Linked DNA regions of Medicago truncatula. Each later gene encodes a partner of the first gene's protein in a complex. Links are inferred from orthologs where the notes say so. Each region holds a gene or a part of one and is shown in the gene's direction. Other genes may lie near its edges. The genes, in order: WD-40 repeat-containing protein MSI1, VIN3-like protein 1, chromatin assembly factor 1 subunit FAS1 and polycomb group protein FIE1.

Region 1 (7,720 bases):
ACAATGAATATATTTTATAATTTAATGGATTAAGCTGTATATTTATAGTGACTAAAATCATATTTAACCTTTAAATATATAAAAAGTGGGTGCATATACGATTTAGGTTAAGGGAAACTAGTGATTATTCTCTATTTATTATGGTTGATTTAATTTCCTTATCATCTTTATGCTCCAACAAAATTATTCTTTCTTTCTTAATGTTTATGTGGGCACTTTTTTACGGTGGAGGAGGACAATTCGGTAAGGGAGCGCTACATGATAGAATAATGGAGGAGAAAAGGAAATTGATGATGGAGGAGGAGATGAAAGTTTGCGGGTCAAATCAGCTTAGTCATGGTTAGCAAGTGCGATATAATATTCGGATTCCTTTAAGACTAATATTCTTTAATAACCAATATGAATAGAACTTACCAAGTAAAATATCAGTAGGTCCGAAGAATCTTTCGCCAACTTCAACGCCATGACCACTCATATAAAACATTAAGGAATTACTTTTTTGTGTTTGACTTATTAAATTTGATAACTTGGTCAATATTTCAGTAGTCTCAAGATAGTACCTGAGTGAGTTCCAATAATTTGCATCGTCCCTCGTGATATGGATATTTTCGTCAATAAATATACATATCATCAAAATATCTTTCATATTGGCACGATGTCAAGAGAGCGTTATTCAAACATGTTTTGATTATTGATAAGAGTATAAAAATATATGAGCAATTTTCAAAAACTACTAGAACATCATATTATAAGAATTCCAATATCTTAACAAATTTCCCTCACAACATTGTTGTAGCTAAAGGAAGACATCGTGTTTATGTCTTTGCAGATGTTACTGTGATTGAGCATATGTCTTTTTTTGCAAGACCAACTACATTAGAGTCAACTTCCCAAGTTCTAGGTATTCCTCTATTAAAAATATTTGTCATTACTCACATACCTCCATAGTCACACTCTGTTTCTGAGTTACAATATTATGGTATTATTATGAACGTCAATGTGTTCTAGTTTCAATGGAAATGTGGTGAGTTCGGCCATAAAATATGTATAATCTAACTAAGAATGATTTCACTCGAGAAACGAATTTGAATTTTCTTGAACAATTGATCCTACTGTATAGCTCATTAACCACTCGAGTCCGATTAATTGGTTACTGTTTTCAACATTTTCAGTTTCAGTACCATAATAATTGTTCAGATTCAATAGTGTGTTTCCTTGGGGGTTCGACCATGAGGTATGTATAATGTGACTAAGCGTTATTTCGCTCGATAATCGAATTTGAAATTTCTTGAATGATTGATCCTGCGATATAGCTCCTCAACATTTTAAATAGAGTGTGTTACCCTAATATAAGCATATTTTTGCTTTATTTTTCTTTAAGGGTAGAGGAAGCATATTTTTGCTTTATTTTTCTTTAAGGGTAGAGGGAGATTGTTATTCTCACCACATTGAACTTTCCGAAAGAAGTGTTTGTTCTAGTGACTTACATTCGCTTACTGTCTTTCCATAACCTACAGAACAACATAAACAAATAAAATACTTAAATAAGTACACAAGCATTTATCTTAAAAGATAGACAAAACTTTTAAAAAAAGGTAAGTAAAAACCTGTTGAGATATTAAGTTTAAAGTTTTTTTGTTTGTTACACAAGTATGGGAAAAGACCCCTGAAGAAAAAGTTTGGGAAAAAAGTTTTTTTTAAAGGTAAATAAAACTTGATAATCTTAATACAACAAACATAAGTGTCTTATTAACCGATCAGTTAAGTAACTAAAAGTATAAAGAAAAGTCAAATTTTACATTAAAAAGAACAGGGGCATTACACACCTTAATATCTTTTTTGAGTCAAGGATAAGAAAAAAAATATAAATTTTCAAGTTCGAGGGCATTTTGCACATAAGTGCAAAACTTCAGGGGGTATTTGCAAAACGTCAAGTTGACTAACAGAAGAATTTGACGGAAGGGGTAAATTGATTAACGTTGTGCAATTTCAGGGGGGTAATTGAAGTTTTGTTAATGTCAGAGGATAATTGACGAAACTTACAATTTCAGAGAGGTAATTGTCTATTTACTCAAATAATTACTAAATTAATTGAATAAAAAATCAACAACAATAAAGAAGATATTTGCCATTCAAAAAACAAAATGAAAGAGATATTTGAGTTCATACCTTTTGATGAGAAGTTATTAGATATAAGCATATATAAATAAAAAATGAAAGAGATATTTGAGTTCAACCTGCAAACGACGAATAAAAACATCTCAAATAGAGTAAAATCATAGATAAATAAAATATGAAAGGTGATCAAACAATTCATGTTTGTATACTAATTTGATTGTCTTATTGCACCAAAAATAAAGGTAAATATATATGTCATTCTTCAATTAGTGACTATATTTGTGATTGGTCCTTGAATTCAATCAAACAATATTAATTCTTAGTTACATTTTTCGAAACAATAGTAACTACCAAACATTGTTTCCTCACATGTGATCAACATATCCAAAACCATACATAACATAACATGTAATAACAAAGATATTCACACAAGCTGAAATTCAACTAATATTTATAAAAATATTCACATATCTCTTGTTCGCTTTGAAAGGACGGCACATTTTAAATCTTTCATAGAAAATCTTTTAAAGGAGAAAGTTGTGTGTATGGTATTCTATAAAATAAAAATATAGGAATTGTTTGAAAAATATAAAAGGTAATGTGAAATGTCAACATATCACAAATACATGACTATGCAGTACGAGTGATTAAAACTAACCTTATAGCATGCCAATTTTATGAAAGTACCAACTTTTAAGATCAAACAGTACAATACCAACATATGGTATCCTTTAAAAGATTCCTCTTCACATTATCATAAAAACATTAGTTGGCCAACCTTGTAGAGAAATGCGTGTATTTGGTATTTTAAAAAATACATGTAAATGAATAGTTAGGAAAATATAAAAGGTAATGTGAAGTTCCAACATATCACCAATTCATGACTATGTAGTAAGAGTGATTAAAACCAACCTTGTAGCATGTCAATGTTCCTCATAACATGTCAATGTTCTTAAAGTACAAATTTTTAAAATTAAATAATAGTGTCTGCAGGGTGTACACTACAATGGGGGCTATTTAATGTTGTGTTAAATAAGCGAAGCACCTACCGTTGTGGACGATCTTAGTCGATGAATTTTACAAATAGGAAACCATGTTTCTTAATGTGTAAGTCGTAAGGCATACACATACACGCTCTAGTCATTATTAGGATAAATACCTTTTTTCGTCCCTGTAATATTAGCGAATTCTGGTTTTAGTCCCTGTAAATAAAAAGATTTAGATTTTGTCCCTGTAATTTCATATTCTTCCACTTTTGGTCCCTCCTTTCATCACGTCAACAAAATCTGCATCAATTGCGTCCCTGTAATTTCAGATTCCTCCCACTTTTGGTCTCTGTAATTTCATATTCCTCCACTTTTGGTCCCTCATTTTACATGCCATGTATGCAGATTCTGCTGACGTGGTGGAATGAGGGACCAAAAGTGGAAGAATATGAAATTACAGGGACAAAATCTAAATCTTTTTTTTACAGGGATTAAAATCGGAATTCACTAATATTACATGGACGAAAAGAGGTATTTACCCTCATTTTTATTAGCAAAAATCCACATTTTAAATTTATCTAATAAATGATTTATGTTATTATATAGATCACATACATTGCATATTGAATCAATCTAAAAGATGAATTTCTACTTATAATAGTGACCAAATGAGGTACACAAGTTTAGATTGGTTTATCAGAAAATAAAATTAGAAGGTATAACAATGACATTAAATTAAATGTATGGATAACATCTTCGTGGAAGTGTTACTTAGACACAAACCCAAATAAAATTATTCAAGCACACATTCATAAATAAAAATATTAAGAAACAATAATATGGTCACATTTATTAATTATTTTTTCATTTAATTATTTTCAATTGTGAATGTGTGCTCAGATAAATTTTATTTGGGTACGTGCTCATGTAGATTTATCCTAACATCTTTAAATGAACGTCACGTCACATCATTGTCACTCAATACCTTTTACCACTTACTAAGAAACATTTGAAACAATTTTTTCTTTTCATGTAACAAAAAATTTGTCAATAAAAGTTGACTCGTAAGAAGTTGATTTTTCCATAAGGTCGTGAGTTGAACTTTTAATTTTAGAGTGAGAACCAAATATCTGATGAATGATAATGTTCATTAATCCTTAAGACCTATCCTAACTCTCGTAAGTCCCCAGAGATCAACTCACCTAAATTTTTATTCACAAAAAATTTGTAAATTTGTGTATCCATTTTTTTTTTCTAAGCATCAATATATACAAATTCAATTCTTCTCTTTCATGGGTGGTCTCATTTAGTCATACTTTGAGAGAAGGGAACGAATGTGCTGACTGGTTGATTAAATTTGGTGCAACTAATACTGACTCCTTGAAGATGTGGACTTCTCCTCCATCTCAATTGGATATCATCATGCTTGCGGATACCTCTGGGGTATTTAGGCAGCGGATTGACTAGTTTGGTTTTCTTGTCTTTTAATTTCCTCTTCATCAAAAAAAATATATACAAATTCAATTTAATTTTCTATTATTTTTATTAAATGATAATCCAATTTAATTAATAAAAATACGGCAAAGGGGTAAGTGAAGAAGTGAGGGAAGTAGTGGGATAGAGAAGGGGTTAGTGAGTGTTTATATTTCTCCCTCGAAAAAACAACATCACATTTGAGAGTTAGGGTTTTGAAAGTGGATGGGGAAAGAAGACGAAGAAATGAGAGGCGAAATAGAAGAACGAATAATCAACGAAGAATACAAAATCTGGAAGAAAAACAGTCCCTTCCTCTACGATCTCGTCATCACTCACGCTCTCGAATGGCCATCTCTCACCGTCGAATGGCTTCCAGATCGCACTGAACCCTCCGGCAAAGACTACTCCGTCCAAAAACTCATCCTCGGGACCCACACTTCCGAAAATGAACCCAATTATCTCATGCTCGCTCAAGTTCAACTCCCTCTCGACGACTCCGAAAACGACGCCCGTCATTACGATGACGATCGTCCTGAAGTTGGAGGGTTTGGTTGTGCCAATGGGAAGGTTCAGATAATTCAACAGATTAATCATGATGGTGAGGTTAATAGAGCGAGGTATATGCCTCAGAATAGTTTTGTGATTGCTACTAAGACGGTTAGTGCTGAGGTTTATGTTTTTGATTATAGTAAACATCCTTCTAAGCCTCCAATTGATGGAAGTTGTAACCCTGATTTGAGGTTAAGAGGTCATAATACTGAAGGGTATGGTTTGTCTTGGAGTAAGTTTAAACAAGGACATTTGCTTAGTGGTTCTGATGATGCTCAGATTTGTTTGTGGGATATTAATGGTACTCCTAAGAATAAGTCTCTTGATGCTCATCAGATTTTTAAGGTATTCTTATTGGGTTTTCTACTTAATTTTGTTGTTTTTTGTTGCTTGGTTTGTTGTTGATGATTTTGTGTTATTGTTTGTTTAGGTTCATGAAGGTGTTGTGGAAGACGTGGCTTGGCATTTGAGGCATGAGTATTTGTTTGGTTCTGTTGGGGATGATCAGTATTTGCTTGTATGGGATCTAAGGACACCGTCTGTTACTAAGCCTGTTCAGTCTTGCATTGCTCATTCTAGCGAGGTGTGTTGCTTAATCTATTTAAATATATGAGTTTGTTTTGATTATAAGCTCTTTTACATTTGGTTTTTTCAAGGAAGTATAATTAGTTTAGGGTTTAGTTTTGTGAGAATATGCGTTTGTTTGTTGTGAATTTTTGTTGCATATTCTTTGATTTGTGTTAAAATATATTTAATCTAGGACAATTGTTTTTGGCTTGAAAGTAGCAACCTATTTTGTGGAAATTAGTGCGAGGGATTGGTGAATCTGTCAAAATGAGCATGGCCTGGGGATAACGTGCTAGGTGGAAAGATACGGCGAAGTATAACATGCACCATTCGAACTGGGTGGTTGAAATGGAGCAGGGCCTCCAATGCTTTATGTGATGCAAATGTAGGAAGGCCTAGGAGTTTGTTTTGGATAATAAGCTCTTTTACATTTGGGTTTTCAAGGAAGTATAATTAGTTCAGGGTTTGGTTTTGTGGGAATATGCATTTGTTTGATGTGAGTTTTTGTTGCATATTCTCTGATTTGTGTAAAAATAGATTTAATCTAGATAATTGTTTGTGGCTTGAAGTAGCAACTATTTTGTGGAAATTAGTGTGAGGGATTGGTGAATCCGTCAAAATGAACATGGCATGGGGATATCATGTTAAGTGGACAGATACAGGGAAGTTAAACACAAACCATTCAAGCTGGGTGGTTGAAATGGAATAGGGCCTCAAGTATTTTATGTGATGCGAAAGTACTGCTCAAGTTGATGGGAAAATTTCATTGGACGACTCTAAGAACCAATATGAAAATAAATTAAGCGTGGCGGAGATAGGGATGTTGTGTTGGATGTGTGGTACACTAGACAAGATAGGATTGGAAATGACAACATTTGAGAGAGAGCTGGGGAAGCACCTATAGTACAAAAGATAGTGGAAACTAGGCTTAGGTGGTTTGGGCATGTAGAAAGAAGACATGTGGATTCCATCGTAAGGACAATAGATCAGATGGAGGAGAATTACTAGAGGTAGAAGAAGGCCTATAAAAGGCATAAAAAACTATTGAAGAAAAATCTTGAGATTAATAAGTTGGATAGAAAAATATTGGTTATTGTTGTTTAGATATGAATTATGATGTGCTGTTGTAAGAGGGAATTTGAAACATGGACTTATATTTTGTGATTATTCTAAAATTATCAATTTATTACTGTTCAATCTTCATTATATCTTTTGAAATTTATGAGTTTTTGAGAATGTTTGACCCAACCCATCAAAACATAGTGATATTAGACCTAAAGGTTCAACGTTGTGTTGAAAGACTTCATTCGGGGTGGGTGATAATTGAAAACTAAACACGGATAATGCATAAATTTTTAATCACGGTCAATATTTGAGAACTGGCCGAGACTCCACTCTGCAGTTGTACAGTGGCCATATTTCACATATCTGGCTTCTCATATTTTCCTTGCTGATATAATTTCCTGTCTTTACTCAGATTTTCAATCTGTTGGCTTCTTATAATGTCTTCTCCGTTGTGCTCTAATTCGACTTTATCTTTTAGCAGTGTTCTAGAGTTTTCACAATGCTGATATTACTCTCAATATATATCACTTCTAATAACACTTTTCTTTATATAATAATGACATTGGATCTTGTTAGGTTAACTGCTTGGCTTTCAATCCCTTCAATGAATGGATAGTTGCTACTGGTTCTACTGACAAAACAGTGAAACTGTGGGATCTGCGCAAGATCGGCAATGTTCTTCACACCTTTGATTGCCATAAGTAACATTCTCCTTAGTTGTTTCTATATTTACTCTAGATGTAATTATATTTAATAGATATTAATCTGGATTGTTGTTTTCGGGTTAACAGGGAGGAGGTTTTCCAGGTTGGCTGGAATCCAAAGAATGAGACTGTCTTGGCTTCTTGTTGTCTTGGTAGGAGACTGATGGTGTGGGATCTTAGCAGGTATTGCTTAATGAAAGCATCACCATATCTGGACTTTTTAGTGAATTTTTTATTTGTTTCCCTGAAATGTTT
Region 2 (7,275 bases), on another chromosome or scaffold:
TTTTTATTTTTTAAAAATGATCACGTATTTATAAAAGTTCTTTAAGTTTCTTAGACAACTTTTTGGAGCCAAAAAAATTGTTGCACATTTCGTTCCTTTTTTTTTTTTTTTTTTTGTTTCTCTATTTTTTTAGAAAATGATCGCATATCTTATCTTATTTATCTAACTCTGTGGTGGTGTCACATCTGTAGTTTGCTGATGATACGTTACTTATGGGTAGGGGTGGGAATAGGCCAGGCCAGGCCATGCTTTGATAGGCCTGAGCCTGGCCTACGAAATAAATCACAAGCCTGAGCCTGGCCTATGGCCTATCATAGGCCGTTTTTCTAGGCCTGGCCTGACCTATTTAAAAGCCTGGACTGGCCTGAAAGCCTACTTACAGACCTACTTCATATTAAGGCCATCAAATAGTTCATTTGGCCTACTAAATAGGTTAAACATGTCTTAAAGCCTACTTAAAAGCCTATTTCACTACAAGTAAATTTCAACTAGATAGAGAAAAAGATGTTTATATTTTTAATATATGCAATTATTTTAATATAAAAAAATATTTTTTAATAAATAAGTATTAATAGGCCGGCCTATTAGGCTTAACAGTCTTTTTTTGAAGCCTAAGCTTGGCCTATTTAACTAAACAGGCTTTCTAAAAAGTCTAAGCCTAGGCCTATCTACTAAACAGTCCAGGCCATGCCAGGCCAAAACAGGCCAGGCCGTAGGCCCCTGTAGGCCGGCCTGACCTATTCCCAACCCTACTTATGGGTACTAAGAGTTGGGCCAATGTTCGAGTGTTAAGGGCGGTGTTGAACTTATTTGCAGATATGTCCGGTGTAAAAGTGAATTTTCATAAGAGTCTACTGGTAGGAATTAATATTGGGAACTCGTGGTTGACTGAAACAGCATCTATTTTAAATTGTAAGGTGGGTAATATTCCATTTTTGTATCTTGGTCTCTCAATTGATGGTGATCCTCGAAGGTTAGCCTTTTGGGAACCTATGATGTCTACTATTAAATCTAGACTGTCAAAGTGGCAGAGTCGCTTTCTATCTTTTGGGGGCCGCTTGATTCTTCTTAAGTCTGTCCTGACCTCGCTTCCTGTCTACACTCTTTCTTTCTTCAAAGCTCCGACAGATATAATCTCTTCCATTGAAACTTTATTTAAGAATTTTTTTTAAAGAGGGAGTGAGGATAACAGGAAAATTTCCTGGATTGCTTGGAGCTCTATTTGTTTAGGTAAGGAGTATGAAGGGCTGGGGGTGAGGCAGTTTAGAGAGTTTAATTTAGCCTTGTTGGATAAATGGTGTTGGCAGTTGTTGGTGGATAGAGGTGGGTTTTGGTATAGGGTGTTGGTGGCGAGATATAGTGAGGTGGCTGGGAGGTTGGAGGTTGGGGGCCGGAGTGCTTCTTCTTGGTGGAGGGAGGTAGTGAAGATTAGGGATGGGATTGAGGGCACAAATGGTGGTTGGTTTGGCGAAAGGGTATCTAGGGTGTTAGGTGATGGAAACAATACGTTCTTTTGGTTTGATAACTGGTTAGGAGATGTCCCCTTGTGTAGAAGGTTTAGTCGATTGTTTGATTTAGCGACTAATAAATTTGTTACTGTGGCGAATATTTGTGATCGCGGATGGGGGGAAGGGGGAGAGGCATGGAGTTGGAGGAGGAGATTGTGGACGTGTGAGGAAGAAATGTTAGAGGAGTTTAGGGTACTACTTGATGGTGTATTTGTGCAGGCTAATATTCTTGACAGGTGGCAGTGGGATCCAAACATTCATGAAGGATATATTGTCAAAGGTGCTTATCAGATTCTGACAACTTCGGTATCTTCCACTGTTGACGTGTGGAGAGACCTCATTTGGCATAAGCAGGTTCCCCTAAAGGTGTCCATTGTTGCTTGACGTTTGCTAAAGGACATGCTCCCAACCAGGAACAATCTCCTTAGGCGCGGCATAGTGCAAGAGGCGGGGACTTCGTGTGCTACAGGGTGTGGGCTTGAGGAGACATCAGCTCACTTGTTTATTCATTGTGAAGTGTTCGGTCGTTGTGGCAGCAAATTAGGGCCTGGTTGGAGTGGCGGGAGTAGAACCGCTTACCATCACTGACCATTTTCTCCAATTTATTCATTATACAGGATCATCTAAGGCCCGCTGTGCTTTTCTTCAATTATTGTAGCTTCTTGGTGTTTGGCTAATATGGAGTGAACGCAACAACAAAGTATTTAAAAACGTTGAAACTCCTATATTACAGCTTCTAGATAAAGTAAAATTCCATTCATTATGGTGGGTAAAGGCTAATAATGCCAAGTTTGTTTATGGTGTGCAAAGATGGTGGTCGGACCCCTTGACTTGTTTGAGTATCGACTAACCTGTTTTTCTTGTATATAACTTGTATGACATATTGTTATTTGGGGTAGTCTGTTCGGTACACCTTGTACTGAGGAGCACTCACCGCCAGTGTTAATATATTCCATTTTTATGTCTTCAAAAAAATAAAAGTTCTTAAGTATCTTAGACAACTTTTTGGAGCAAAAAAAGTTGTTGCACATTTCCTTTCAATTTTTTTGTTGTTTCTCTATTTTTTTAGAAAATGATCACGTATTTTATTTATAAAAGTTATTAAGTCTCTTAGACAACTTTTTGGAGGCAAAACTATTGTTGAGTCTAAATTACTTTGGGGGTTTAATATTTGTCTTCTGGAAGCATTATCAATGATTTTTTTCATAACAAGGATTGGACCAAGGGTCAACCCTAATCCCTATCAATGATTTTTTCATAACAAGGATTGGATCAAAATCAACCCTAATCCTTTATCTTTTTACATGTTTAATTAATTATTGTATTTTTATTAGAAGGATTGAATGATTTTTTTAATAGGATTGAATGATTTTGTTCATAACAAGGATTGAATGATTTTTTTTTCATAGGATCAAAGGATTGAATGATTTTTTTTTATAACAAGGATTGGACCAAGGGTCAACCCTAATCTCTATCAATGATTTTTTCATAAACACCTTTGCATGTTTAATTAATTACTGTATTTTTATTAGAAAATAATAAGTGGGGTTTAGGGTGTTACATCAAATCCCCGTCTCAGTCCTCGTGAGCTTAATTCAGTTCATATGGACAACATATAATATATGCAAAGGTTCAAACTCCGACCACCGCAAAAAAAATCTCCGTCTCACATAAGCAACATTAAGACAATGAGAACTACAAACTTCTATTTCAAAGAGACTTCACCGTCTACGTAGAAGCTTATTTGTAACTACTATGAAATCACGACAACAGCACAACTGAACGTGAGTTTCGAGACTTAAACACCAAATCAAACATATGCTACATCCAATTTAAGTTGGACCAAACATACTCATTTATTTTTTTTTACTTATTTTGGGTCAAAACTGCCATTCAATCAAATCACCGCCTCACATGAACAACATAAAAACAAAAAGTAATATAAACTTCTATTTCAAAGAGACTTCACCGTCTCCATAAAACCTTCATTTTATAGTTACTAAGACCATCCACAATATATCACCTTAAACTGAGTGGTTAAATTAATTTCATATGTCCACATCACTTATTTTACGGTAATACTTAATAAACACCAATTTTCTCCAACCCAACACCTCAAAAGAAATTATTAAATAAGTCCTACAAATAATTTTATATCATTACATTTCAACAAAAATTATTTATTTTATTAAGATTTATTAAATGTGACCCATGAAAAATGAAGAAAGAGAGGGTGCTTCCATAGCCACCGTTCTCCATAGCCACCCATATATTATACTCCACAATGGGGGTGCCTATTTAATATGATGCTAAATAGATGAAGCACCCACCATTGTGGATGGTCTAACAAACGTGAGTTTAAAGATGCGCTATGTCTAGATTAACCTATATCACACATACTCATATTTTTTTTCTTTTGTTTTTTTGGTCAGAAACTAGCATCAATCAAATCACCTTCTCACATAAACAACATAAAAACAAAGAGAACTATATACTTCTGTTTATAAAAGACTTCATCGTCCACATAAAACCTTCGTTTTATAGCTACCAAGAAATCACAACAATAACACAACTAAACTCGTGTTTAAAACCTCAAAAATCCAAACCAAACAAAACATATGCTACATCTAATTTAAAACCTATTCTAAAAACATAACTAAACCTTAAAACAACTTAAATAATTTTCAAAGAATAGGGGCAATAATGTCCACAAAAGTAACATCAACAAAAACCTGAAAAACATGAAAAGAAGTAACATAAGCTGAAAACTTCACACAGCTGACTAACCAATACCATGCAGCCAAACAACAAGAGCCTAGGAAGAAGAAAAAAACTACCACAACTCCCTCACGCGCCATCTTAAGCGCGTGTCACTTCATTCACCTATAAACACTACCAATAAACACAACCCTTTTTCTCTTTCTCTCTCAAAATCACAGAAACAACAACATAATCTAACAACAACATAAACCACCAAATTTGTCTTGTGTGTTTGTGTTGTTTAAGATTTCAGATTCATAACCTTAAAATCCTCATTCTCCTTTAGGTAACTCTTTCATTCGTATCCCTTTATCCTTAATTTTCACGTTTTTAAGGTTTTATGTTTTTTTTTCTTTTTTTGTCTACCCTTTATAGATTTGTTCTGATTTTCCTCTTGCCCATGTTCTGATTTTTGTAAAAATTTGTGCTTTTTATTTGTTTAATAATTTCCCTTTATTTTGATTTTTTTTAAATATTAAAATTGATGTTTTTTTGACCTATTTTTGTTGATATGTGCAATGCTTATTGAATGAGTGGTTAAGTTGTGATGTGTGATCTTTTATTCTTGTTTTGTTTTTATGTTCAGTTTTTCATTCATGGCTCTAAATTGTGGTGTTATTATTATACGTTTTTTTTTCTTCATCTGTTTTGAGTAAATAGTTATTGTTATAATGATAATAATAGGTTTGTTTTATTTTTCATAACTGTAATTGACTATTTGAGTCTATTTTTCATCAGACATTGTGTGTTTAAATCAAATGTGCAAAATAATACAATTGTGTTGGAGACTGATTTATATTTTGTTTTTAATTGATTATTTTTAATTTAATATTAATTAATATATATCCATCAATCAATCAATTGATAATAAATCCTCAATTTAGAGCCCGTTTGTTGTCGGATTCGGGTGAGGTCACTTGGTTGTAAGTTTGTTTTACAACCTTGTGGTACTCGGTTCGAGACTGGCCCCAAGAGAATAACACTTTTAAGGGTATTTGATCGGTTGATTACTCTTTTAAGAGTCCTGATGGTTGCCCTTAAGTATATCAAATCTGTCATTTTAGTCTCTAAATATATGAAAATCTGCCGTAAGGGCTTAATTAAGGGATTATTCATCAATCAATTAACGCTATAGTTGCTAGTTTGCATTGTGATTATGCATATCTGTCTTTCTCTCTTATTGTACTTTATTGATGAGTTACATTGTGAGATTGGTGTGTAAGAATCGTGGTTGCTTCCTCCCGTGATTAATATTGAAATGCAAACAGAACTGAACAATCCATGATAAATTTTTGAAGTGTTTGATAATAGATTGTTCTTGAACTGAACAAAGCCATCTAGTGGTTATGCTGCTGTTTTGGTTAATGCTGTTTTTTCAATTTTCTTTCAGACTTCACACAATTTTATCTTTTTTTCAGACTTTCTTTCACAAATGATGTTTATGCATATCACCAACACACTCCTTTGTTCTTATTTTTGTTTTTTTCATTTGTGCCATGTTAATCGTGTCATGTTAATCTACTTAAAAAAAAATGAACATGATTTAAAACGCTGTCTGAAATTTGACTTCGGAAAAGATACATTTTATTTTTTTGGAGAGGATTCGGAAAAGATACTTAACGTGTGATTTGTTTGCGGAAGCTGTTATTTAATGTGTTTTACTTTCTTTTGCTTATTAAAACTAATTTTATGTATAGTTTCAATCCAATGAATTGTTATATATTGCTTCTTTTGCAAGGCTTTTTTACCCTTTATATCATTATTTCACTTTTTAGTCTTGTGGTTTGTTTCCTTTTAACTTTTACTTGAGTGTTTGATGATATTTGTTTCCTTTTTGTTATTCAAAATGTGAATTTTGTTTGTCTCATATTATGCAACGTATTATAATTATGATCCTAAAATGGAGTTATACGTTGATATGCCTTGTAAGTATATTTGGTTTGGGATCAAATCTGGTTTTTCGCTATCTTAGAGTCAATTATCGATTTTAATATATGGTTTTATTAAATGCTGAACCGATATAGTTACAAACTAGTATTGTTCTATTCTACTCTTATTGTGGCATCACCTTGGAAAGTCGTTGTTATTCATATTTGGGTTAAATATGTTTTTAAAATCTTAAATCACTATTTTTTGTCTCTATCGTCTTGCGGCGTCATTTAACTACTTATGTGTCCAACACAAGATCAAGTGGCCTCTCCAGGTGGCACCTAATCGTGTCGGTGGTGCCTTGTTAGCATATATGACTCCCTAAGATTTTATCTTGAGCCCGGAGATTTTTTTTGGCTCAACCTAAAGTGAATGTTAGAGACCAAAAATAGCGATTTGTTATTTTAAAGTGATGAAAAACCAATAAAAATATTTTACAGGAATCAAAGCCAAAAGTTGCTCATTTTATGGTGACTAAAATCAATAATTTTGGACTTTAGAGGAATGAAAGTCCACAAAGAAATCATGCTAAGTTAAAGTATACTGTTTTTCTTTTGTTATGCGGAAGTGTTGTACTTTGTGAACAGTGTGGCATATTATTAAGGAAAAAAATAACGATGAATTATGTGGCATAAAATTTATCCAAATTTTCAGTAATACATTAGGTGAGGCTATGATGATTGTCTACAAAACCAATCTGTGTTACTATTTTAATAGGATATGTTTTTTGGGTCTTTCTTGTACATATTCACAATATAAACATCTATTTATTTTGTCCCTTAAAACGCAGCAAAATAAATTTTGATCTATATGTGATGTTCTGTTTTTTTCATACGCAATTATGAAATATTAATGCATTAATTAATGTATATTTCTGTTATGCATAGAATATAATTATGTAACATATATGATATAAACTTCCCCAATTGTGTGGTTTAGAATTTGATATTGTTATTAATACAAAGAGATTGGAGTGATTGTTGAATTTAATCCTTGTTTAAACGACTTCTTCAACCATGATTCTGTTGTCCATGTTGTCTTGTTAGTTATCAAAACTGAAATTTATTTCTGGTAATGA
Region 3 (7,676 bases), on another chromosome or scaffold:
TTCTATTTTTTAATATAAAAAATTATTCAATGCGGGGACGGTGATGGGGCGGGGATACCCGAACCCGTCGGGGACGGGGATGAGATTCAATTTCTCATCCCCGTTGGATATGGGTAGGGTAACGGGTAAGTATATGAGAATCGGGTATGGAGATGGGGAAGGTAAAACCCGTCCCCTCCCCGCCCCATTGCCATGCCTATATGCAAGGTCCGGGGTTCGAATCATGACCACCACCAAAAAATGTAAATATTAAATAGATGAAGTTTATATTTTAAAAACTACTTATTATATTTATTATTTATATATTTTATGAACTAAATTAGAGAAAAACTGATAGTTTAAGGATTAAATTGATATTTTATAATTTAAAAATTTATTCATTTGTAAAATTTAAAATAAATTTTTAGTGTGTTTTTACTTAATAAAAATTTGTACATAAAAATACTCACATATTTCATTAGTTTCTTTTTTAAAAGAATGTTTCAATAGTTGAAAAACACTTAAAGAAACATATATAAATTAACTATCACCCCCCAGCAAATAAAGTATTGGAGTATTTGACTAAGTAGTTGGACCAAAGCGATTAATATTAGAGTCATAAGTGACTATAATAAGATTTATAAACATATGGATCTTCTAAAAGGGACCAACACACAATAACAATAAAAAAATTCCTCCTATGCCACATTTAAAAGACCATTTGCAAATTGGAGTTGATGTTTGAAACTTTGATGACGCAAAACTATAAATATGAGTGAACCAATAGTTATTTGAAACTACAAATTTTAAGGTCATTTCTAAGAGTATGTGAAAGAGATTCGTGAAGACAGCCACACAAATGACTTGAAGAATTTGCGATGATATGTCTAAAAACCCTAAATTTGTTTGAATGAGCAGTTAATCACAAAAAGTACAAGTCCTTCTCTAAAATTATCAATTTTCACAACCAATTCCAAGTAACATTAGCAAGCTAAGAATGGCGATTATGAATCAAAAGCCAAGAGTACTCACCACTTGCTGAGTAAATACTTTAAGAAGCAGCACCATAAACAATTATATTATACTGTCTATGTGTGGTATTATGAGGAAATTGCTAATGCAAAAGCTTTGAGACGATGGAAAACATGAATGTGAAGCAAATCAAAATTCCATGAGCCACTTTGTAAGATATCGTGAAACATTAAGGTTGTATATGTGATGTGAACATATAGAACTTGGTTGGTTGCCAAGACAACCCTTACAAAGACATTTATCATATTAGATAGAGAAAAAAAAACTTTAAAATAATGTGTTTTTTTAAGTTATACCTTTTATAAATTAAAACATTACTTGCTTATAGTTTTTAACAAATCAGATCATCTAAAGTACATTACTTGCTTGTAGTTTTCACACAGATAATATTAACTTGCTAAATACAAAATTTGAACAAGCATTTCGAGTAAGTTCTCGAAAGACCGCATCCAAACCGAACTATTAGTCCGAATTAGGATAAGTGTTTGAAAATTTGAAGACCAACAAGGCAAAATTCGAAAAGAAGCTGTTTTGAAGACCTAACCTCAAAAAACTAGCATATAAAAAAGTGCAGAAAAAGTTTTAACAATGACAATTATGTTTGGGAAGTCATCAACTTTCAAAATTCAGAACTAGAATATACTTGGAAAAAAAAAATCTAAGTTAGCTAGAAGACACAGATCATTCATGCATCATGTAGTTGGTTTCTTCTATGAATCATTCTCCATGTAAATTAGTTCATTTCCATTATATAAAAATAAGCCTACTATATAACATTTGTTCTCATATGATAACACATCTTACTGCTATTTGATTTGAACAGTGTATGAAACAAACCCACGAGGCTATATATCAAATTTTACTTTTAGTCCTCGTAAAAAAAAAGTTCAAATACCTCTCAGGTCCTTTAAGTTTCATGTGTGTGTCAGATAGATCCTTTAAGTTTCCAAGGTTTCAGATATGTCCTTTAAGTTTTAAGTTTGTTTCGAATAGGTCCTTTAAGTTTCGAGTTTGTTTCAGATAGATCATTTATATCAACCTCCGTTAAGCCAAAGTTGATTTGATAGAAAGGACCTATCTGAAACAAAATCGAAACTTAAAGGACTTATCTGAAACCTTAGAAGCTTAAAGGACTTATCCGAAACAAACTCGAAACTTAAAGGACCTATATGAAACCTTAGAAACTTAAAGGATCTATCTGACATAAACATGAAACTTAAAGGACTTGAGAGGTATTTGGCCTAAAAAAAAGTGGCATTTTCACATCCTTTACATTATTTTAGCATGAAGTTTTATTTGTTTTGTAATATTTAATTGTATATGTGTTTGTGTTTGTTATATGTGTTTATGTTATGTCAGTTTTTTCAAGTCTGGAATATGGAGAACTATGCTGATACATGTGCGCGTGCGTGCGTATGATATCGATATCGACCCCAACTATACCATTGATAGGCCGCACACAACGTGGTTCATTCATGGCATGGGCCATGAGTCACTAGACAACTACATGACATTCTTTGATTGCCTGCAGGTCAGCTTCATGATCTTCTGCTCCTGCGACGAACATCGTCATGTTAGTACATTGATTAGATAAATTGTGACGGCAAAATGATTTATTATCACTTGTCAGAGCGTGTGAGGTGGCAACATGAATGTATTGAGACCATTATGAGACATCCTTTCTCCCTACTAGAGTCAAATGTCTTTCAGATAGACCAAACATTCCAATATTTTTTGGGTGCATGTATACTTGAGGACACGTGAGGTATATTTTTGGAGACGCGATGGTAGCACATATTGAGTTACATTTCCTGACTCTATATATCTCATTTGAGACTAGTGGCTCTGGTGGAGGAAGATCCACCTAGGTCATCAAATGTTGAGGTTCTGATATAAAAGGAGCATGCCAGGGATATTTTGGATACGTCACAGTTGATCACGAGGTTAAGGACCATTTGCTTAGATGGGAAGGAAAATGGCACCCCATACTATAGTCTACACGATACTCTCCATCGTATTGTCAGTGATGCAAAGTTGGCCACTCAATATTAAGCTGCATAGTAGAGGAGGGCATTTCGATGAAATTATATGCATTTTAATACATCAATAGTTATGCCCCTATGGCATTTTGAACGTATATTGAATATTTTCACTTTTGCATGAATCACGCGTGGTTTTGTGCCATTTTGAATGTTGATCAAAATAATTTTATGGTATATTGAATGTTTAGTGTGGTTGAAAGTTTAAGTGTGTTAAAGTTGGTTGAACTTTGAATAAATTACACATAATTATGCATTTTGGTTTCAGCTACCGCATCATAACTTCTGATCTTGAGACCAATTTCTAATTTTTTATTTTGAGATTAGTTTGTAACCCATGATTTCAAGCAAGCGGGACATAACTCCCGATAGATGTATTTTCAAAAGTTTAAGGTGTTTTGTGAGCAATTGAATGTTCCTAGAGAGTAATTTGCATAAATAAATTTGTTCCAAAGCCTAACTTTTTATGGTCCATGTTGAAGAGTCTCACATCAGAAAGATGGTATGATAATATGTTTATAAGTTATACAATTCTTACCTCACAAATCGGTATGTGGGGGCATGTTAGTCCTAAGCACAAAATTATAAGACTGTATCAGAGCATCCTCTAAAATCTATTAGGCCACACGCCATCAGGTTTTCCGCTATTGGGACACCCACCATTTATATTCACGCTCTAGACATCTAAGTTTGGAGTGTGAGGGGGTGTGTTAAAGAGTCTTGCATCGGGTAGGAGATGATATGACAACATATTTATAAGTGGGGACAATCCTCGCCTAACAAATTGGTTTGTGAGGTTATGCTAGATTCGACCATAAATTTCAAGAGTCCATAAATGTCAAAGTCCACCATCCTTTTTTTTAACCTCCACGACTTTGTAAATTAAAACTCCTTGAAATGCATCATGTTTTTTATTTTATAAAAATTCTGGTTTTTATTTATTTATGTGTATTTGACATAGATTTATGCATTTTTCCTCCACTAGTTATGAATTTAAATGAATTACTTACAAAATTAGCATGAATTTATTATTTGATTAGTTATTTTTATTTGTATATAATCCTGTTCAACCAGTTTCTTTTAAAAAAGAATTGTTCAATCAGTTATACAGTAGTCCAACTGATTGAACCATGACCCGAAAATCACATCGGTTCAATTCCTAATCCGCTCTTTTTAGAGTATTGAAACCATTTATTATTGGTCTATTTGCATAATTAGTTGGTCATTTGCGTTCGCAAATATGACGTGCGACAAAGATTTTTCTTTGATTTTACATCATTAATATCCTACTCAAATAAAATATTTATTTTTAATTGATATTGTTCAAATTTCAACTTCGCGCATAATTTTATTTAAAATAGATTACCGCTTCGCGCGTAAATTTTATATCAACTTCGCGAGTCTTATCAAACGGTAGTTTTGTTTCTTATTCGAGTTTCGACTCTCTTGTTATCCATTTTTGTTTTTAAAAACAATAACTAGAATATAAATTGCAAAAATATCTGATACTGGTTTTTTTAGGAGAAGATTGATGATATTGATTAGAACATATTAAGGTTATTATCTAAATTTATTGTTATTAATGAAAGAATTGAAAGGTGTCAACGTAAGAAGTTGAACATTTGGATTGAAAGTGGAGGCAAGAAAAGGCATTGGGCGCCAAACACCAAAAAATTTCAGTTCACTTTATTGTTTGTTTATATCATTCATTCAACATTTCCCCATTTTCATTTTCATTTCCCTTATTCCACCACCGATTAGGGTTTTTCTTTTTCATTTTCAGATCTCAAATTACACAACCATGCAAATCGACACCACCGTCCATACCACTCCTCCACCCCCACCACTGCCACCACCTCAAGATCCAACACCAAATCGCCCCAAATCCAACCCTCGAAAGCGAAAAAAGGAAGTTAATTCGCGGACTCCCGAAGAGAAACAAGCACAAATCGAAACCCTAGAGAAAGAGCTTGAAGGGTTGTTTGCTTATTACAGAGGGGTTTTGGCTCAGAAAGTTGTGATTGACCTTAAGCAATGTGGGGGTTCGAGAAACGTTGTGGTTGCGGCTTTGATGGAGGAGAGTGAGCTTCCGTTGTCTAAGCTTGTTGATGAGATTTATGAGAAGGTGAATTGTGAAGTGGCGAATGCGGGTATTGTGTTGGCGGAAGGGGTTAATTCTGCTTTGGTGAAAAGTAGTGTGTTGTTTGTTGGGCAAAGGATGATGTACGGAGTTCCCAATGCTGATGCTGATATTTTGGAAGATCATTCTGATTCATGTCTTTGGTGTTGGGAGGTAATTTTGATTTTTTTTCTTGATTTTTGTTTTGAATTTTGATGATATTTCTTCTAACTATAGTTTATTTGTTGTTTGATTTAACCGGGTTATCTTAAATCTGTGTAAATCAATGTTTTTTGGATGTTGATAATAATTGGGTCTGTGTTGAAGTTGAATGTGTATTGGTTACACTGTTTGCTTGCTGCTGATGGATTTGCTATGTTGTCATTGTAGACTAGGGAGGTTAAATTGTTGCCGAAATCTGTTCGAGGAGAGCTTGTTATTCGACGCACTTGTCGGAAAAAGATCCACGACAGGATCATGGCTGTATCTGGTATGGATTACATTGCTTTGGCTGACTATGGTGCTTTGAATGTTGTTAGTTGATTGGTTCCTTTGATTTATCAGTGTTGTCAAATACAAACTCAAACGGTGCTATATCACTTGCATAGTGGGATTTGAATAATGTTATGCATTGAAAATCTCAGAAAATAGCCGTTTGTTCAGAATTCCAAGTTTAACAAACTCAAACGGTGATATATCACTTGCATAGTGGGATATGAATAATGTTATGCATTGAAAATCTCTGAAAATAGCCGTTTGTTCAGATTTCGCCATGCAATACTGCTATAGCGCAGCTATAGTGTCTATTTCACAATATTTAGTACCAATTAGCGTATCGCAGAACAATATCGGTTTTGTTTAAATTCTGCTATGCCATAGCTCTATAGCTGCATTTAACAACATGCATACGAACAAATCACAATTGTTCTGGGTTATGCTTTTAAACAAAGTATTGTCAAATAGTGGCTATTGCGACATTTCTTTTTTTCTTTTTTTGGTCCGGTAGACTAGTGGCTAGAATTCACCTTATAAGGTGAATAAGTGGGGTGTCTGGGGTTCGAACACCGGCCCCTGCATATAATAATGCATTGTCCTACCAACTGAGCTATACTCACGGGACAACACTTTGCTCTCCTAGCCGTAGGATAGTGAAATTCGCCTAAAATCGTGTCACGTTTAAGTAAATCGTGACATGTTTTCTTCGAGGGGTTCCAAACCTAGTGAAAATGTTCTTCTGCAGGAAGTTGACAACCGTCTTTGTATTGGAAAAGGAATACGTTGTTGATAGCGGAATATGCAAATAATCGGCGTACATGACATTTATGACGATGTTTTGTCATGTTTTCCCTTTTTTAAAGCATGTAATTGTTTTGTGAAAGTTTTGGCAAAACGACAGCGTTTTTGTTTACTGTGTATTTTATTTTTTTTGAAATTTCATTGCCTTGCAGAAATGATTGCGTCACTGAAGAAACAAGAAAGCGAGCCTAATTATAGTCAAAACTTAATCAAGGCCTCTAAAAAGCTGAGTAAAACTTCTACTGAGGCTGACATTCGTGTGATAGTTGAAGGCTTGTTGCAGAAAAACAATGAAGACATGTATGTAACATAATGTTGCTATCCTGACGTGTTCAATTACCTTGCAAATGTATGAATTGTTCATTTGATTTTTTCTAAATTATAATTGCAGGGATAAGAAAAAAGCAAACCAAGAAGAAAAATTGCTAATTAAACAGTTGGATAGAAATAGAAGAGAAGCTGAGAAAGAAAAAGAGAAAGAGAAAGAAAAAGAAAGCCTACAGCGTGAACTGCAAACAGAAACAATTGCCATTGTAAGTGTTGTTTTGATTCTGTTTATATTGTTTATAGCTCCAATTACTTCTTACTCGGTGATGCTTTCACTTGTAGTGAAATTGCGTTTTCTACATACTTTAACTTGAAAATTCCAAATTTCCATTACATTTGTTCGAAGGTACTACCTCTGTCCAAATTATTAGTCAGTTTTGGAAAAAAGTTTGTCCCAAATTTAAGTCATTTTACAATATCAAAATGAAACATCAATGATTCTTTTCCTATTATACCCTTTAATATTTATTACTCTTTTTTACAATTTTTATTTATCTTTTCCATACCATAAATGAAGTGTAATTTTGTAAGGTACTACCTCATAATTTCTCTTTTCTATACAATATTAACTACATTCCTTAATTTGTGTGAAATGGTAAAATGACTTATAATTTGGGATGGTGGGATTAATATCGAAACCAAAAAGCCAAAAGTATTTGCACGACGTTGAGGTAGGATTGGAAATTAACTTGCGGACAACATTATGATAATCCATTGCATTAGATAGTAATTATTAGAGCCTAGTTGATATATTCATTCTTAATTTTTGCTTCTTCATTCATCTAATGAAAATAATTCATTTTGAGAGTTGACAATTTTCCTTTTCTCCGACTGCCTCATTGTTCTAGGAAACAAGTTCAAAGTTGTCCCAAGGTGAGGCAAAA
Region 4 (7,618 bases), on another chromosome or scaffold:
GTGTATTGCTACCTAAGAATGTTTATGCATCACCGCTCTATGCAAACTTCTTAACAACCCATTAGTTCCCTTTCTCTTTCTTTTCTTCTTTATGATTTTTCCATTCAATTCACCAACTGGTCCCACACAATGTATCACTTTCTCCCAGCATCAACCTTCCACGTACCCATCAATTTAATCTCAACCATCCACGTCTCCTTCACAAAAATCCACTTTACTGGTCCTTCAAATTCCACCTGTTACCCGATTACACAACTCATTCAAAATCAACGGCTTAGATTCATTCTCCCTTACATCTCACAATCACCATCTTTAAATTTCCATCTTCCCCACTACCGCCGTTTTTACCAACATTTCACAAAAAACATCATTTCATTTTTTTTGCATGCAAAAAACGACCATGAAGAACATGAAACGACACTCATCGGAATCTTCTCTCCGACGAGTGGATTCTCCTGTTGGAGCCGTTACGAAGCTAGAGAATGTTCACCGGAGAAGGTTGAAAATTCGGAGAATGAAGTATAGTTGTCAAGCAAAGATCCACGTCGGAAATGGCTCCGATGACGGTGATCTGAAAACGGAGAATGCGCGACGAGAGATTCATGAATCTGTTGAGATATCGTTGTCGTTAGCAACTTCATCATCATCTGAGGAAGATGATCAGCTGTCCAAGCAAAACGGAGAGGTACACTGTTGTTGTTGTTAGCTTATTATACACGGAAAATCCTTGAGGACAGTGCGTCTCATATTATTTCATTGTTTATTATTTGCAGGTGAAGCATTATCAACAACAACAGCGACCTCTATCGTATGGTTCGGTGTCAACCATAGGCTGTAGGAAGGAAATGGAGGATGCGGTGAGTATGGAGATAGGTTTTACGATGAAGGATGGAGAGAAGTGTGATTTCTTCGGTGTTTATGATGGTCACGGTGGTGCTCAGGTGGCGGTGTCGTGTAGAGAGAGGTTGTATAGGATTGTGGCGGAGGAGGTTGAGATGTTTTGGGAGGATAGGGAATGGGATTGGGAGAGGGTGATGGAAGGGTGTTTTGGTAAAATGGATAGGGAGGTGGCGGGTGATGCCACGGTTAGGACCGTGGGATCCACGGCTGTTGTGGCGGTTGTTGTTAAAGAGGAGATTGTTGTTGCGAATTGTGGTGATTCTAGAGCCGTTTTGGGACGAGGTGGTGAAGTCGTGGAGTTGTCTTCTGATCATAAGGTACTGTAGTACTATATTTGATTTTCTTAATATATTTGATAGTACTAATTTCTAGGCAGTATACAACTAGATAGATAATTGGATGCTCTCATCATGTGCTTGATTTCTGACTGATGTGTATGAAAAACATATATAGTCACACCGAGATTGCAGCAAATTGCAATATCTATACATTGTTGCATCTAGATTCTAGAGTCAATTATTTGGATTTTGATTATTATTGAGATTTGAGATCTTGTACTATATTTAGATTTAGATGATTTAAAGTAGATAAATTTTTTCATTCCAAAGAAAACTATTGTATGATAATGAATGAAGGTAATATTGATTTCCTTGTTTGTACACAGCCAAACAGGCCTGATGAGTTGATGAGAATAGAAGAAGCTGGTGGAAGAGTCATAAACTGGAATGGCCACCGTGTTCTTGGTGTTCTTGCAACTTCACGATCTATAGGTTTGTATGAAATTTTAACTTCACAAATACTTAGATTTCTAGCTTATGATAATGTTGGTTAATCCATTTTTTTTTAGATTATTTATATTTTCTACTTTGTTATATGCATGTATTTTCTTTGATCAGCCATTTTTAAAATAGCAGAGTAACTTTGACAAAAAAAAAAGTAAAGTTTGATCATATGCGTGATTGCTTTTAAATTTTTAACCAATCAAGATGACACATTGCTTAAATTCTCTGATAAAGAAGAATCTATAATAGAATGTGATTCTTTTTTATACAAAACAAGTTTGCCACATGTTTTGCGTATATGATTTTCAATCTTAATACTATTGGGAAAGTGTCTCATTATTTAAATCTTTGAAGATTATTGGACGGAAATAAATTATTACATATGAATCTTGACCTGTTCTTAATACTTGTGTGTATGGTCAAACACGTGGAAATTTTCAATAATACAAGAATATTTGTTGTATAAACACGTTGATTTCAAAGAGGTTAAGGAATCCTTCTACTATCAAATTACATGGAAAACTGTAAATCCCACATAATCAATTAATCAAAGTTTGGGTGTAAATTAGTTGAGCAGTAGTTGAGCTATATATTGTAAACTTATTACAGAATGTTCTAACTTTTAGGTTATGAGGCAAAAAAAAGAAGTTCAAAATCCATCAATAAATTGAGCTTGATATTTTTACTTACTTTTGGAAAATTGTGTTTGTAGACCTATATCCTTTAACACCCATGAGAGAGATAGAAATAGAGTATGCGTTGTGATTAAATGTGATAAGTATGTGATGTGATAAGAAGTGAGACGGAGAAAAAATGAGGTGTTGAATAAGTGTTGAAAAATTAAAAGTGTTTAAATATAATGGTTGTTAAGAAATATGCATGTCAAGCTTTAGTTTTAAGCTTAGTTTTATTGTAGTCAACCTAAACATTTATTAATTTTTAACAAGTCATGAAGCACGAGTTTTTAGCTAAGCTCGATTAAATCATTTATAAATAACTGATAAAATCGATTACATATATATTTTGTCAAATAGAATTAGTAAACTAATGATTATTGTTAAGAACCAATTTGATATGTTCTAACTACGAAATTTGATGCATGCAGGAGATCAATATCTTCGACCATATGTAATATCAAAACCTGAAGTCACCGTGACAAAACGAACCAATGAAGATGAATTTCTCATACTAGCAAGTGATGGCTTGTGGGGTGTAATGTCTAGTGAAATTGCATGCCAAGTTGTAAGAAAATGTTTCAAAGGCCAAATTAGGAGAGTTTGTCATGGGAATGAGAATCAAAGTAATCGTGCTGCTGAAGCTGCAACACTATTATCTGAGATAGCATTGGCAAAGGGTAGCAGAGACAATACAAGTGTCATAGTTGTTGACCTAAGAGGAACATTAAAATCTAGTTGACAATTGATGACTTTATTAGTTTTAAATCAAGGGGGTGCACCCTCTGTGCCAAGATATTATCAAGTACATAGTAATGATAATTAATTAGTGTGAGAAATACAATCTCTAACACGCTTTTTTATCCGTCAAAAAAAAAACACGCTCTTTTAAGATATGTTCAATGTTATCGATTAATTGAAATTTAAGTGAGTTTGATCTCGCTCGAAGTAAATTTCATTATATTAGAAACAATGACAAACATATGAGTTGGTGGTTATTGAATATTATCGTGTATGTTTGAAAGAGTGTTTTTTTTTTTTTTTTAAAGTATATCGTGACATTTTTTCAAGATTATTGATATGAGAATTGTGTGAGAATTAAAATTGAATGATAGTATATAGTGGTATCTAATTTTGAAAAAGTGGTCTAAGGATCAATCTTTTGCAAAGTTAACAGTTTAGATCTTCATATTTCATGACTGGAATAAACTTGTTGTGAGCATTTTTCTTTTAATTACTATACATCACACCTTGCAAATGTTTTACCTCTCTTGTTGCTACAAAAATGAAATTAGAACTTCATTAGCTATTAGCTAAGGTTAATTCAAAATCAAAATAGAAATTTTATAAGGGTTTCAAATCATTGGATTCACCTTTAAATATATGTACATAAACATCTCCTCCATCCATTCACATAAGAACTCAATCCCTTCAACCTAACATCTCGCATAAATTTCTTAAACGAGACCTACTAATCAACTATCAATAACTTTATATTATTACATATAAATTTTTTAATATTAAAAAGGTGTGGGTCCCACTTAAGAAAGAGGGTCTTAAGTGTGACCCGGGTTTTATAAGACCTCGAAAAGTTCCTCCCCAATGGAGTATCTAATAGGCACTCACTAGATCATAAAAGGTTAAGACCCTCCCATTGGAGATGGTCTTAGAGGGAAGTTTCGGGCAACCACAAGAAAACACAAATGATATCTGAGACAATATGTCACATGAGATTATAATAGTAGCAAAAAATACGCCGGGAGAATCAATAGCTTTTGGATCCAAGGTTAAAAAACCTTGATGGTGGAGAAAAATATTCAAAGTAAAGTTAAAATAAAAAGAGAATGTCATAAAGATTGATCTAGGTGTAAAAATATCAAAACTTGGAAAAATTATAAGAGTTAAGAAAAAAGACAAAAAAAAAAAACGATAAGCGAAGCAAAAACCTAAGCTTTTGAAGGGTTATACCAATCCTTATGCACCAAGGAGGGAGAAAAAAAATTACCAAACAATTTAACTTTAATTTTAAAGCTCTAAATTTGACTTTATAGCACTAAAACAAAAAAAAAAATTAAACATAAATAATTTAGTAAAACGCAAGTGATTTTAGCAAAATAAGAAACACTTCTATTAAAGAAGTGAAAGTTGAAGATAATTGACATGAAAGTTTCACTTAAAACGTAAATTATTGAATTTAAATCGAGATAATTGAATTCAAATCCAAAACTCACATGTTTTTATATGACATGAAAGTACCACTTAAATTGAAGAAGGGAAAATCATATTGAATTACCATAGAAGAACAATTTATCACTTACATAAGAAAATTTGAGACCATATGAAACCCTAATAACTAATTTGGTCTCACTCAGTCCTCAACTGTCATCCCTCACCAGCTCACCCACTCTTTCTCGCCGGCCACCGTAAGCTTCTCACTTTTCCAGGCTTTCATTTTCATGTTTCACTTTCAGAGTTGTTTTTTTTCTTCTCACTTACGATATTGTATTGTATTGTATTGTAAAGTTTCCATTTTTGTAACAATCTCATTGTTTCCTTATTCATATATTCTGAAATGAATATTTATATTTTCATTTTCTTCTCTTAAATTATGGTTACTATTTCGAAATTGTTCATCATTTGCACATTTCATTTGAGATTTCGTTTTTCTTGTCACTGAATTTATGAGAGAGTATTTTCATTTTCTCAGCTTTGGTTGCACGCTAAGTGTTTGATCAAATGCCAATTTGGTGGAAAAACTTTTTTTTTCTTGTAAGTTAGATGCTAAAAGACATGGGTTGTGTTTGGTTAAAACACTTAATTTGAATTTGCAGCTTCTTATAGCATAAGCATTTATCATATAAGTGCTTATGAATAAACTATCTGCCTGTTTTGATTGGCTTATTTTAGCTTATATACTAGCATAATGTTTGTGAGACTGTTTGAGTGAACTTATGAAAAAACCTTATGTTTATAAACTCCAACATAGTTTGCGCAAAATAGTTTAACATTATTTTAACTTTTGTTATAGAAATAGCTTATACATGAGTGTTTATTATGATAAGCACTTATGCTATAAGATGACAATTAAGTTGTTTATCAAACAAGGCTTATTTCTGTTACACAAAATAAATAAAGTCAAATTGTTTTTTGTATAAGATATAAGCTTTTTTATTCAGCTATATTGGAGATTTTATGGAAATAAGCTTAAAATAGCTTACGAGCATGTCATAAGCTCTCCCAAACAGTCTCACAAATGCCTATGCTAGTAGATAAGCTCAAATAAGCAAATTCAAATAAGCCCTTATTAAGTGTTTGCTTCGGCAGTCATTTCAGTTTCACCGCGTGTTTTGGCAAGATGCTACAATTAATGGCTATAGTTTCACTGCATGTTTAGAAGAGGCTACTTTGATTTCAAACAACCACTTAGAGTCAGTTTCTTTCAATAAACCTTTCTAAAAGCACTTATGTAAGAAGGAATATTAAGAGAATCTTATGATAATCATGAGTTCATCAATGCCTTATGTGGAAGAGGTCTAATATCCAATCAGTTCTGAGAATATAATAGGAATGGAAGCTGGAAGTGATTTTTTCCCTTTGAATCCCGATAGTGAAAAAGATTTCTAAAACCTATTTGGGAAACCTTGATATGTTTTGAATGAGTAGGAAGATCATTGTGCAATGGATTCAAAAGGACTTTGTTTACTATTAATTTGCTCCTTACATTGTCTTATTTTCCATGTATCATTTGGAATTGGATTTGAATTTGTTGTTAAATTGTTATTGAACTTGGTCAATGCCAACTGTCATTTTGGATTAGGTATTAGTGGTTTTTTTTATTATATTTTTTTCTCCTTGCATATTTTCTACTTTTTGATATTTGTTTTACATTATCTAGACTAGATGAGATTGGCGTGTTCGCTCCGTAAATCAGTGACTTGGCCAAATAATTACTGCGAGTAAAATGTTAGATACAATGTCCGTAAGGCCTTGCAGTTGTGTGTGTGAGTTTTATGTGGTATTTGCCACTTCGTTTACGGACCAAAAATAAATGTTAGATACAACTGTCCATACTGGCTAGCTCATGACCTATCACGTTTTGCCACTAGCATGACTCCCCCAATCTAGTCCTTTGAGTGATATGGCTTTTTTGACTCTATCTGAAATTTCAAAGATTAAATGGGTTAGGGATTGGCCCAATCAATGATGGGCCGTCCCCCGTTGAACCGACATTAAAATATACATATATCTTTCTCTCCCGCCGTTGCTAAACTCATTGGGAGCTTTTGTGTACTCTTCTCCATTGGCATTGGTCTCGTTTCATATATATTCTCCAATCTAGATCTAATTCCTTGATTTCTTCTCCCGTTTTAGGTGATTGTCATTCTCTTGTTGAATCTGTTTTTCACGGAGTGGTAAGGTTTTTCCCTTTTCACGGTATTTTTCGTTTTTTATTGTTTGAATGTGTATATCTGATTTTTGCACATGCTTCCTTAATTGGATCTATTGTATCATTATTTTCGATCTGTTTCTTTCCGTGCTACCCCTAATTTTCATATGCTTTGCTGTATTTCTACTTTTTTATGTACTTGACGGAGTAACTTGAGGAATTTGAAAGATGCAATGCAATATATTTCTTGATTGACATTTTTGACTGGGAGATTGTTTAACTAATAACTTCATGCAGAAATTTAATGGGATTATAATATCTCATTTGTTTTCTTTTGTATTGTCAAGTCAAGTAGTTTACTTGTTATTATCATGTTCTCATGGCTAGCAATTCAGCTGGTAGCTTTTTATTTGGCTGTCAACTACTACAGTTTCTGAGATTTTAGATTCTTGAGATTTTCATATCTGCAGATTACTTATTTTACCGCGTGTATTCTTCTCAGGTCCAGTACTTAATGCTCCTTAATCCAAAGCAAATATAAAAACGCTGAATAGCTGCTTCTTGTCCATGTTGTTTGTGCAGTTTCTGCATATATTTGTTATGCAAAATGATATCCACCGATAATTTGTTATGCAAAATGATATCCACCGATAATAAGTGGAAAATAGGCAAAAAAATACGAGTACATTATTTTATGTCATGTCAATGAACATGTTAGCGGACATTTTTATTTCCCAATGAAGTTTATCTAAAATTAAGCGTAGCAGAGATGAGGATGTTGTGTTGGATGAGTGATAAGACTAGACAGGATATGATTAGAAATGACACCATTAGAGAGAGAGTTGGGGTAGCACCTATAGTAGAAAAGATGGTAA

The links.
Region 2: WD-40 repeat-containing protein MSI1 (region 1) and VIN3-like protein 1 share a complex: the UniProt entries of both Arabidopsis thaliana proteins name them as parts of the plant homeodomain / polycomb repressive complex. The link is inferred for Medicago truncatula from reciprocal best matches to the Arabidopsis thaliana genes MSI1 and VRN5.
Region 3: WD-40 repeat-containing protein MSI1 (region 1) and chromatin assembly factor 1 subunit FAS1 share a complex: the UniProt entries of both Arabidopsis thaliana proteins name them as parts of the chromatin assembly factor 1 (CAF-1) complex. The link is inferred for Medicago truncatula from reciprocal best matches to the Arabidopsis thaliana genes MSI1 and FAS1.
Region 4: WD-40 repeat-containing protein MSI1 (region 1) and polycomb group protein FIE1 share a complex: the UniProt entries of both Arabidopsis thaliana proteins name them as parts of the plant homeodomain / polycomb repressive complex. The link is inferred for Medicago truncatula from reciprocal best matches to the Arabidopsis thaliana genes MSI1 and FIE.

The regions. Positions count from the first base shown.
Region 1 is NC_053045.1:46,472,563-46,480,282, reverse strand, and holds the start of WD-40 repeat-containing protein MSI1, read left to right. Parts: upstream 1-4,708; 5' UTR 4,709-4,802; coding exon 4,803-5,474; intron 5,475-5,559; coding exon 5,560-5,712; intron 5,713-7,337; coding exon 7,338-7,462; intron 7,463-7,552; coding exon 7,553-7,648; intron 7,649-7,720. UniProt on the Arabidopsis thaliana protein: Core histone-binding subunit that may target chromatin assembly factors, chromatin remodeling factors and histone deacetylases to their histone substrates in a manner that is regulated by nucleosomal DNA.
Region 2 is NC_053047.1:39,580,216-39,587,490, reverse strand, and holds the start of VIN3-like protein 1, read left to right. Parts: upstream 1-4,264; 5' UTR 4,265-4,554; intron 4,555-7,275. UniProt on the Arabidopsis thaliana protein: Involved in both the vernalization and photoperiod pathways by regulating expression of the related floral repressors FLOWERING LOCUS C (FLC) and FLOWERING LOCUS M (FLM).
Region 3 is NC_053048.1:37,406,583-37,414,258, reverse strand, and holds the start of chromatin assembly factor 1 subunit FAS1, read left to right. Parts: upstream 1-4,656; 5' UTR 4,657-4,851; coding exon 4,852-5,343; intron 5,344-5,559; coding exon 5,560-5,659; intron 5,660-6,617; coding exon 6,618-6,765; intron 6,766-6,856; coding exon 6,857-6,998; intron 6,999-7,640; coding exon 7,641-7,676. UniProt on the Arabidopsis thaliana protein: Component of the chromatin assembly factor complex (CAF-1) involved in chromatin assembly following DNA replication and DNA repair. Assembles histone octamers onto replicating DNA in vitro.
Region 4 is NC_053042.1:9,566,472-9,574,089, forward strand, and holds the start of polycomb group protein FIE1, read left to right. Parts: upstream 1-4,606; 5' UTR 4,607-4,779; intron 4,780-6,727; 5' UTR 6,728-6,768; intron 6,769-7,150; exon of another isoform or gene 7,151-7,245; intron 7,246-7,618. Other genes in the region: protein phosphatase 2C 51, read left to right, coding at 386-685, 774-1,217, 1,565-1,670, 2,788-3,098. UniProt on the Arabidopsis thaliana protein: Polycomb group (PcG) protein. PcG proteins act by forming multiprotein complexes, which are required to maintain the transcriptionally repressive state of homeotic genes throughout development.